Linked DNA regions of Coturnix japonica. The protein of the gene in region 2 interacts with the protein of the main gene of each other region in a pairwise test. Links are inferred from orthologs where the notes say so. Each region holds a gene or a part of one and is shown on either strand. Other genes may lie near its edges.

Region 1 (3,911 bases), on a different chromosome or scaffold from region 2:
ACTGCAAAACAACACGGGCACACAAGAAGGGAGCTGAAGAGCCGCAGGGCTGTGCAGGTCCTATGGCCAAACTGAGCTCCCCTGTGCCCATAGTGCAGCACAGGGCAGAGGAACACAGCTGGGATTAACCCCAGCCTGGCTTATAAACATGGCTGCTTTGATTCGTCCGAATGGACAGGGGTCCCCGCGGGCACGGATCGACATCACAGAGCAGCAGCGCAGGGGGCCCTGTTGGTGGGGATAATCCCTCCCTTGCAAGGCAGGCACTGAAAGCTCTCTTTTGTCCTGCCTGTCTCTAACACGGACCGAAGGGAAGCAAAGGAGAGGCTGCCCCATGCGGCTGATTCACTCCCAGTCACCTTTGGAGGGCTCAGATTGTACCTGAGCGGGGACTGAGACCTGGGGAAGGCTGAAGGGGAAGGGATGCCTCGTCCTAAGCTCCATCGCAGCTGATGCCGCCTCCTTTGTCAGCAGCCACAGACTGAAATCACCCATTGATCCCTGTCTCCTCTCGGCCCAGTGCACAGGATGCGTTTTCTGAGCTGCTCATGCGTGACGGGCAGCAGGGACAGAAGGAACAGTGCAGAGCCCAGGGCGGCAGAGGAGGAGCAGCGGGTGGATGAGCCTCAGCCCCCTGCTCACCTCCTGCAGGACATCTGTAGGCCTTGATTTCACCGCACGTTTGGTTCCTGGCTTTGCAGGCTCTTCATCTGAGTCGGAGTCCGACAGCAGCCGGCGGTTCTGGGCCTGCTCCAACATGGCTCTGCAGGGACAGAGGGCAGAGCTGGGGGTGAGGGATGGTCCCTGTGCTCCCTGCTGGATGCTGCTCCCCACTGCTGGAATTCAGCACCAGGACCCAGTCTATGTCCCACACACACACAGCCCTCAGGCCCTGCCCTCACTGCACAGTCATTGGGGTGCTGAGCAGATGGTAAGATGGAGCCCTTCCCCATAGGGCTGGTTTCACACCCATGGCAATGCTTCCAGCCCGCTCACTTCATCTCCTGCTCATCCTCCTCCTGCTCCCTGCGTTTCTGCTCCTCCTCGTATTCCTTGTACTGCTGCAGCATGGCCTCGAAGTCAACGTTTGCCTGGCGCTGGTTGAGCTCCTTCAGCTCCTGTAGGTTCTCCAGAACTTCCATCTCCAGTTTGGAGTCCTTGGTTCGGTTCTCCAGGACCTAAGGAACCAGAAGGAAGCTGGGTCTACACAAGGCAATAAGGTCCAGCACAGCCTCATGAGTGTGGAGAAGCGACGAGGCGACCTGCTGAGCAGGTACAGCCAAACAGGGGAGGAGAGAGCTTTGCCTTCTGCAAACAGCATTTTCCAGTACCTTCATGGGGTTGTTCAGCTCCTCCTCTTCCCTCTCCTTCTGCATCCTCTTCTCCTCTTCCTCCAAGAGCTTCTCAGCTTGGAAATTCCGAGTGGCTCCATGTTCCATGGTGTAATCCGTGTTCTCAGGGTCTGTCTAAGGGAAAAGTAAGGCAGCAAATCTTGGAGCAATTCCACCCCAGTCACAATGTGGGGCAGACAAACACCTGCAGCCTCCTGCTCTGCTCCAGATGGACTCAGGGCTCAGCCTGTGCTGGGACAGCCGTGTTCCCCATCAGACTGAGCTCAGACCCACATCACCTCCCCATGAAGCAGAAGAGGAGAAATCAGTGCCAATATTTCACCTTGAAAGTGGTCTCTGCCAGACACCATGTGCACTTGACGTAGAAGCGGAATATGGGCAGCCCCAGATACACCTCATTCTGAATAGTCTCCTTCTGGGCATTGAACTTCTTCCACTTGTAGATGTATTCACCGCACGTCTTGCAGCTAAAGGAGGAGCCCAACATTAAGAGATAAAAGAGACAGCACAGACCATGAGCACATTCACCCCTTTGGATACGTGGAACCTCCAGCCCCTCTATCACCCATACAGTCCATTCCCTCTCCCTCCTTCCTTCCCTTCTCTTCCTCCTTTCCTTTCCCTTTCCCTTCCTTTCCTTTCCCTTTCCCTTCCTTTCCTTTCCTTTCCTTTCCTTCTCTCCTTTCCTTTCCTTTCCTTTCCTTTCCTTTCCTTTCCTTTCCTTTCCTTTCTTTCCCTTCCCTTCCCCTTTCCTCCCATTCCCTTTCCCCTTTCCTTTCCTTTCCTTTCCTTTCCTTTCCTTTCCTTTCCCCTTCCCCTTTCCCTTCCCCTCCCTCTTCTTCCTCCCTCCCCTCCCCTCCCCTCCCCTTCCCTCTCCTCCCTTCCCTTCCCCTCCCCTTCCATTTGCTGGCTGTATCCCTCAGCTCTATGTAGGGTCTATAACACCCCCCCACCCCTCTCACCGCATGTTGAACGGGGCCATGAGTCGCACCACGTACTGTCGATCCTTCGGGAGCTTCAGCTTCGGGATCTTGGCCGGATCGAAATCCGGCGGGTAATATTTCTACACGGACACAATAGAGCGGCGCACAAACGGACACACGGTCACCGATCAGCTCCTGGCCGGGCCCCGAGGCCTGTCCCAGCCCCCAGAGCGCCCCGTGCCCACCGGGAGCCCTGAGGACGATGTGGGGCCCCCATAGACCCCCCAGGGCACCCACACAGCCCCCAACTCACGTTTAAGACTTTCCGTTCCGACATGGCTGCGCACCGCTCTCAGCTCACAGCGTACACGGAGCTGTCCGCCGCCGCCCTCCGCTTCCGGGATAGGAATCCCGCCCCCTCCGCCTCTCATTGGTGGAGAGAGACGCGGCCTGAAATGATCTCTCGTTTTATTGGTTGATTCTGACGCCAATCAAAGAGCTCAGCCCACTTCCCGGATGTTAGTGTGCCACAGCTTAAGAATCCGCCCTGCGCCGCGGCCTGAAGAAAGGTTCCGGGGTGGAGAGGGGACGGGACGGAGCGGGGGGTGAAACGGGACATGGGGGGGTTGGGCCAAATGGGAACCGAACCGGGACCTGGGGCCCAGGTCAGAACATGGGGGGGGCACAGAGGCTGTCAGCAGCGTGGGGGTCTGGGATGTAGGGCCCAGTGTAGGTGCTGGGGGGCACAGCGCCCTCCTTAGGGACCGTGTGATCTATAGGGCCGATTAAAGCCCCCCTGCCCTCCAGCTGCCCCCACACTGTGCCGGCCCAGCTCAGCGCCCCACAGCATGTATGGCTTTACAGAGAACATCACAAGTGTGGGGCGGGGGCAGAGTCCCGGGATGGTTCATTTATGGGCTGTGTGTGACCAGAGATGGAGCCCCTCCGGTACTGCCCATGCTTGTGTGCCTCAGTTTACCCCATCCCATCCCATCCCATCCCATCCCATCCCATTCCATCCCATCCCATCCCACCCCATCCCACCCCATCCCATCCCATCCCCAAATCCATCCCATCCCATCTCATCTCATCCCACCCCACTCCATCCCACCCATCCCATCCCATCCCACCCCATCCCCATCCCATCCCATCCCAATCCCATCCCATCCCATCCCATTCCATCCATCCCATCCGCATCCCATCCCACCCCATCCCACCCCATCCCATCCATCCCATCCCATCCCACCCCTCGCTGCCTCCCTTGCTCTGAAGGTTGGAAACTCCCCCGGCTGTGCCTGAGAACCAAATCCAGCCTGGGGATGGAGTGACTCAGTGCCTTTGTCTCAAAGGCAGTGATGTCATCTAACCCCTGAGAGCCTGCTGTCCCTCCCCAGCAGAGCCCAGGATGGGAACCTGCCGGCTCCAGCACCTCCGAGGCTCCTGGGCCAACCCTGTGCTTCATCAGCAGGGTGGGAGAGCCCAGTTTATCCCCACAGGCCCCACTGCACCCCACAAAGGCAGCAGCCCATGGCCTGGTGCTCTGTCCTCATCGAGCCCCCCAGCCCAGCACTCCTGTCCTCGCTTTGAGGCCACACAGCTCTGCTTCCACTGCTCCCCGTGCAGTGATGATGGTGGA
Region 2 (3,811 bases):
CCAAGGAGAATTCATTTTAAACTAGGCACTGCTCATTGAATCTTCTGTACCATAATTCCTCCCTGAGTACCTCTCTACATTGCAAGTATAACCTCTGGGCAGCATGCTGCACACACTGACTAGATGATACTGTAGTGGCACAAAAGAAATAAGCAAAGGTAATTTGGTCTTAAAACAGACCACCTTCATCTCTTTATTTTTGTGGCAGAATGAACTATAAAAGTTGTGACATAGCAAAAAGGACACTGAAATAAATCTTCTGTCTGAGCACATGCTTTCACCGAGGCCCCACATGGTCTCACTTCTCTCATAACCCTGCTGGACTCTCTCTCACAACCCTGATCAAGCTCTCTGTACCACATTTTCCTTCCTGTTCTACACCAGCTACTATCTGACTATTGCTGATCTAATGTATAGTAACCTTAACCCTCCCTCCCACAGTTACCCACAGAACAGTTCCAGGACTCCAGCATTACTCTGGCAGGGCTTCCTAAGTATGCTGTAAGAGGACAAAAAGGATAATTTTCTGGCATCAGAAAGCTGCTGTGCAGCAGGTATTCACCAACACAACCATTCAGGACAGCTCAGCACCAAAAAACAGTGCTGGCATCAAACTTCTGGAAACCCTCTTTTCCTCTCCCCATTCCAGAGCACATTCCCCACTGGCTCTTCAGAGTGAATGGCTCCCTCTTCAGTGAGCACCTGGACCTGACAGAACCACGCATTTACCTCCTCAAATGTAAGGCAGATAAAGGTTGGTTGAACACCTGGGAAGACCTCTTTTTTAATAAAGCTCACTGGTCTCCTGGCCCTCCAGCAGACTTAGAAAATGCTTTAAAGAGAATACAGTGAGAATGCGAGCAGGCTGGTACAACGTGTGGACATTTATGCAGGTAGTGTGTGATGTCAATGTGAAGCAAGGTGCAAGTGTGTGAAGGGGGGAAACTGGATGCTCCTGTGCCCTGGAAGTACATAACAGACGGGGAAATTCTGAGTTCTCCTCTCAGTGCTAAGCTCTCCTCAGAGCCCCAGGCCTGATCCTTCAGAAAGTGAAAGAAGGAAAGGGCTCATCTGTTATGCAGGCAGGTTTTCCTCACCATACAGACCTGGTGAGGCTGTGCAGCAGTCTACATACAGGTTTATGCAGAGAATGCAGAAAGCACTAACAAATCTTCCTGTAGTTCCACTACTCCAATGCTAAAGCTGCCAGTTAAAGCCCTAATAGAAGTTGTATTCCATAAGATTTTTTTGCTGTGTGTCAGAGACTGTGCTGGCCCTGTTGGCACTGGTGTGTCATTTAGTAACGCTTTACACACCAGACTGAACTTACTCAGAGATCTAGCCTGCATAAATGGCAATAATCCTTTCCTCACTTCTTCTAACTCCAGTCCTAACTAAGCGTAAAAAAGAGAGATGGGCTACAAAATGCTCGTGCCCCTACAAGTGGACTGTTTCATTTGAAAAAGAAAACAACATCCCAGTGTAACAAACAAGGGAAGGAAAATAAGGGTTTCTTGGACAAGAGCAGGAAAATCTCACATTAACATATTGTTACATGCACATCTGGACGGTTCTTTCAACAGCTAAAATGAACAACAACGTTCTAAGTTAGTAAACAAAATGACAAAAAATAATATAAAACAACAAGGAAAAAATCTGTATTTTCTCTAGCCCTTAACTCTGGCTTGCCTAATTGCACCCTGAAACCTATGGCTTGGAAGTAAGCACAGGACACATCATACAAGAAATTCCCAGCAATGATGAGTGAGATCAAGCCTGGGTTTAAAACTGGAAAGTATTTTTAAGGCTTTGTCATCACCCTTCATCCTAATGTCAGGCCAAAAATGATTCTCTGGCATTAATATTTCAACACATTGGCAGAAAGACCCAATTCTTGACTGCTATGACCATTCAAAAAAGCTGAGACACATTGCTTTTCCTAGCTAGATAACGTGGAATAAAGCTCAAGAAACCAAAGCAACACAGACATAAGCTGCTAGCATAAGTATGTATTTGTTTACATTCCTCCAAACTATACCTGGCTACTGGTTCTGGGATGGTCCCTGGGCTAACTGGCACCTGCACTCCCTTTTCCCACTCCTGCCTCCAGGGGTCTGCCAGCACATAGTATTCATCAGGGTTCAGCTGGAAGGAGTCATGTAACTTCATGGCAGTGATCAGGTCCGTTCTGAACACCTGCAAAGAGAGTGACCAAGAGAGAAAAATAGAGACACTGACATTTGATATTTACACTCTATGATTCACAGCTCCAGGGTAACCATGGAGCGCAGCACATAATAAGGTCACTGTATCAACAGTCAACTAACCCATCCCACTGCAGGACAGAAGTTTAGCTTCATTGCAGAAAAAGGGCTGGCAAAAGGTGCAAATGCTGACGTGATGACTTGAGTTGCCTCCTCTGTGAGTCCTAGTGTTCCCCCCACACTGGACACATGATGCTACCCAACTTGACCTCCCTCTTGGCTACAATAAACACCACACCAGCTTTTAGTCCTAGATCAGCAACATAAGGAAGACTCAATTTGCTCAAACTACTTCTTAAAAACAAACAAACAAACAAGCCATCTATTGGAGCTCTGACTAACCCAAAGGCATTCTATAAATTCCCTGTGATGGAAATCAAGGCATGACTCCACCATGACCAAATACAAGAGGAAATACTACCAAGATGACTCCTGCTATTATTTAAATGACTCTTCCCACATACTCTTGCCAGTATTTAAAACAATAACCCAAAAGATAAACAGAACAATCCCAGATGTGAGTTCTGGTGGTAGCTTGATGTTCAGCAGATGTGCCTGCTACTCTGTCAGCTACAGACACCAAAGCTGTCATTTTACTTTGCTTTTGCAAAAGCATCGACCTCTAAAGCCAGCAGTATCTTTGCCAACAACTGGGTTAGCAGTCATCTGCAAGCAGTGATGCCATCTTCCATAAGCCACAGAGTGAAATCAAAGAGATCCGCTCCTGTAGCAGTCATGGTGTGCCACTGCTGTGGTGCTTCAGCCACAACTCGTTTGCCATGGCCTGTCAGCACTTCAGAGAGCAAAGAATGGTATCAATGGTGTCAGAGCTACAAGTCTGTACCTGTCTGTCCATCGTCCAGCTCTCCCCACCCTGCTCTCCCTGCAAGGCAAGGCTGCTGTCAACCACAGCGCTATACATTGTTACTATAAAATGTTGTGTTCAAAGGAAAGGATTAAAAAACAACGAAGCTACAACAAAGGTGAGCACCACTGAGACAAGAAGGCAGTAGGCATCTACCCAGCCCCACACTGCACAGTTATTAAAAAAAAAAGCACTCCTGGACTCTTATGGGGATCCTAACAGAGCAAAGTTACAACCTCCTGGGCCTCCAACCAGTCCCAAAACAATGGTGGTTTTACATTAATTCCAGCCAGCAGCTGCATATGGCTGAGGAAGTGTCTAATTAGGCAGGCCTCCCAAGGACAGCAACTTCTGTCATACACTAGTCACACACTAGTCACACACCTGAAATCTCAACACATTATCTATGCTTTTGGGGAAGTATTTCAGGGGAACAACAAACCTGATGGCTAATCATACTTTCAAGACTATTTAAAACTATTATCTGCCTTACAATGCAGCCTATCCAGTCACCTCTTCCCCTTCCCAATACTCACATACTCCTCACTTCTCTCTCAGTATGCTTCTGCTCTGCCTCTATCATTAAAAAAGTAGGAAAATGACGGGTTTTTTTCCCCTCAGAATTTCTCTTGACATGGTCAAAAAACCTGCCATCCTTAAAGTAATGACCAATATCACTGTA

What was found.
Region 1: the proteins of JADE1 (region 2) and YJU2 interact in a two-hybrid assay, tested with the Homo sapiens proteins (2 studies listed by BioGRID and IntAct). The two-hybrid records come from large-scale screens. The link is inferred for Coturnix japonica from reciprocal best matches to the Homo sapiens genes JADE1 and YJU2.

What each region holds. Positions count from the first base shown.
Region 1 is NC_029543.1:756,238-760,148, forward strand, and holds the start of YJU2 (splicing factor YJU2), read right to left. Parts: upstream 2,701-3,911; 5' UTR 2,613-2,700; coding exon 2,589-2,612; intron 2,416-2,588; coding exon 2,315-2,415; intron 1,820-2,314; coding exon 1,675-1,819; intron 1,467-1,674; coding exon 1,332-1,466; intron 1,179-1,331; coding exon 997-1,178; intron 764-996; coding exon 643-763; intron 1-642.
Region 2 is NC_029519.1:30,507,553-30,511,363, reverse strand, and holds part of JADE1 (protein Jade-1), read right to left. Parts: intron 2,197-3,811; coding exon 2,039-2,196; intron 1-2,038.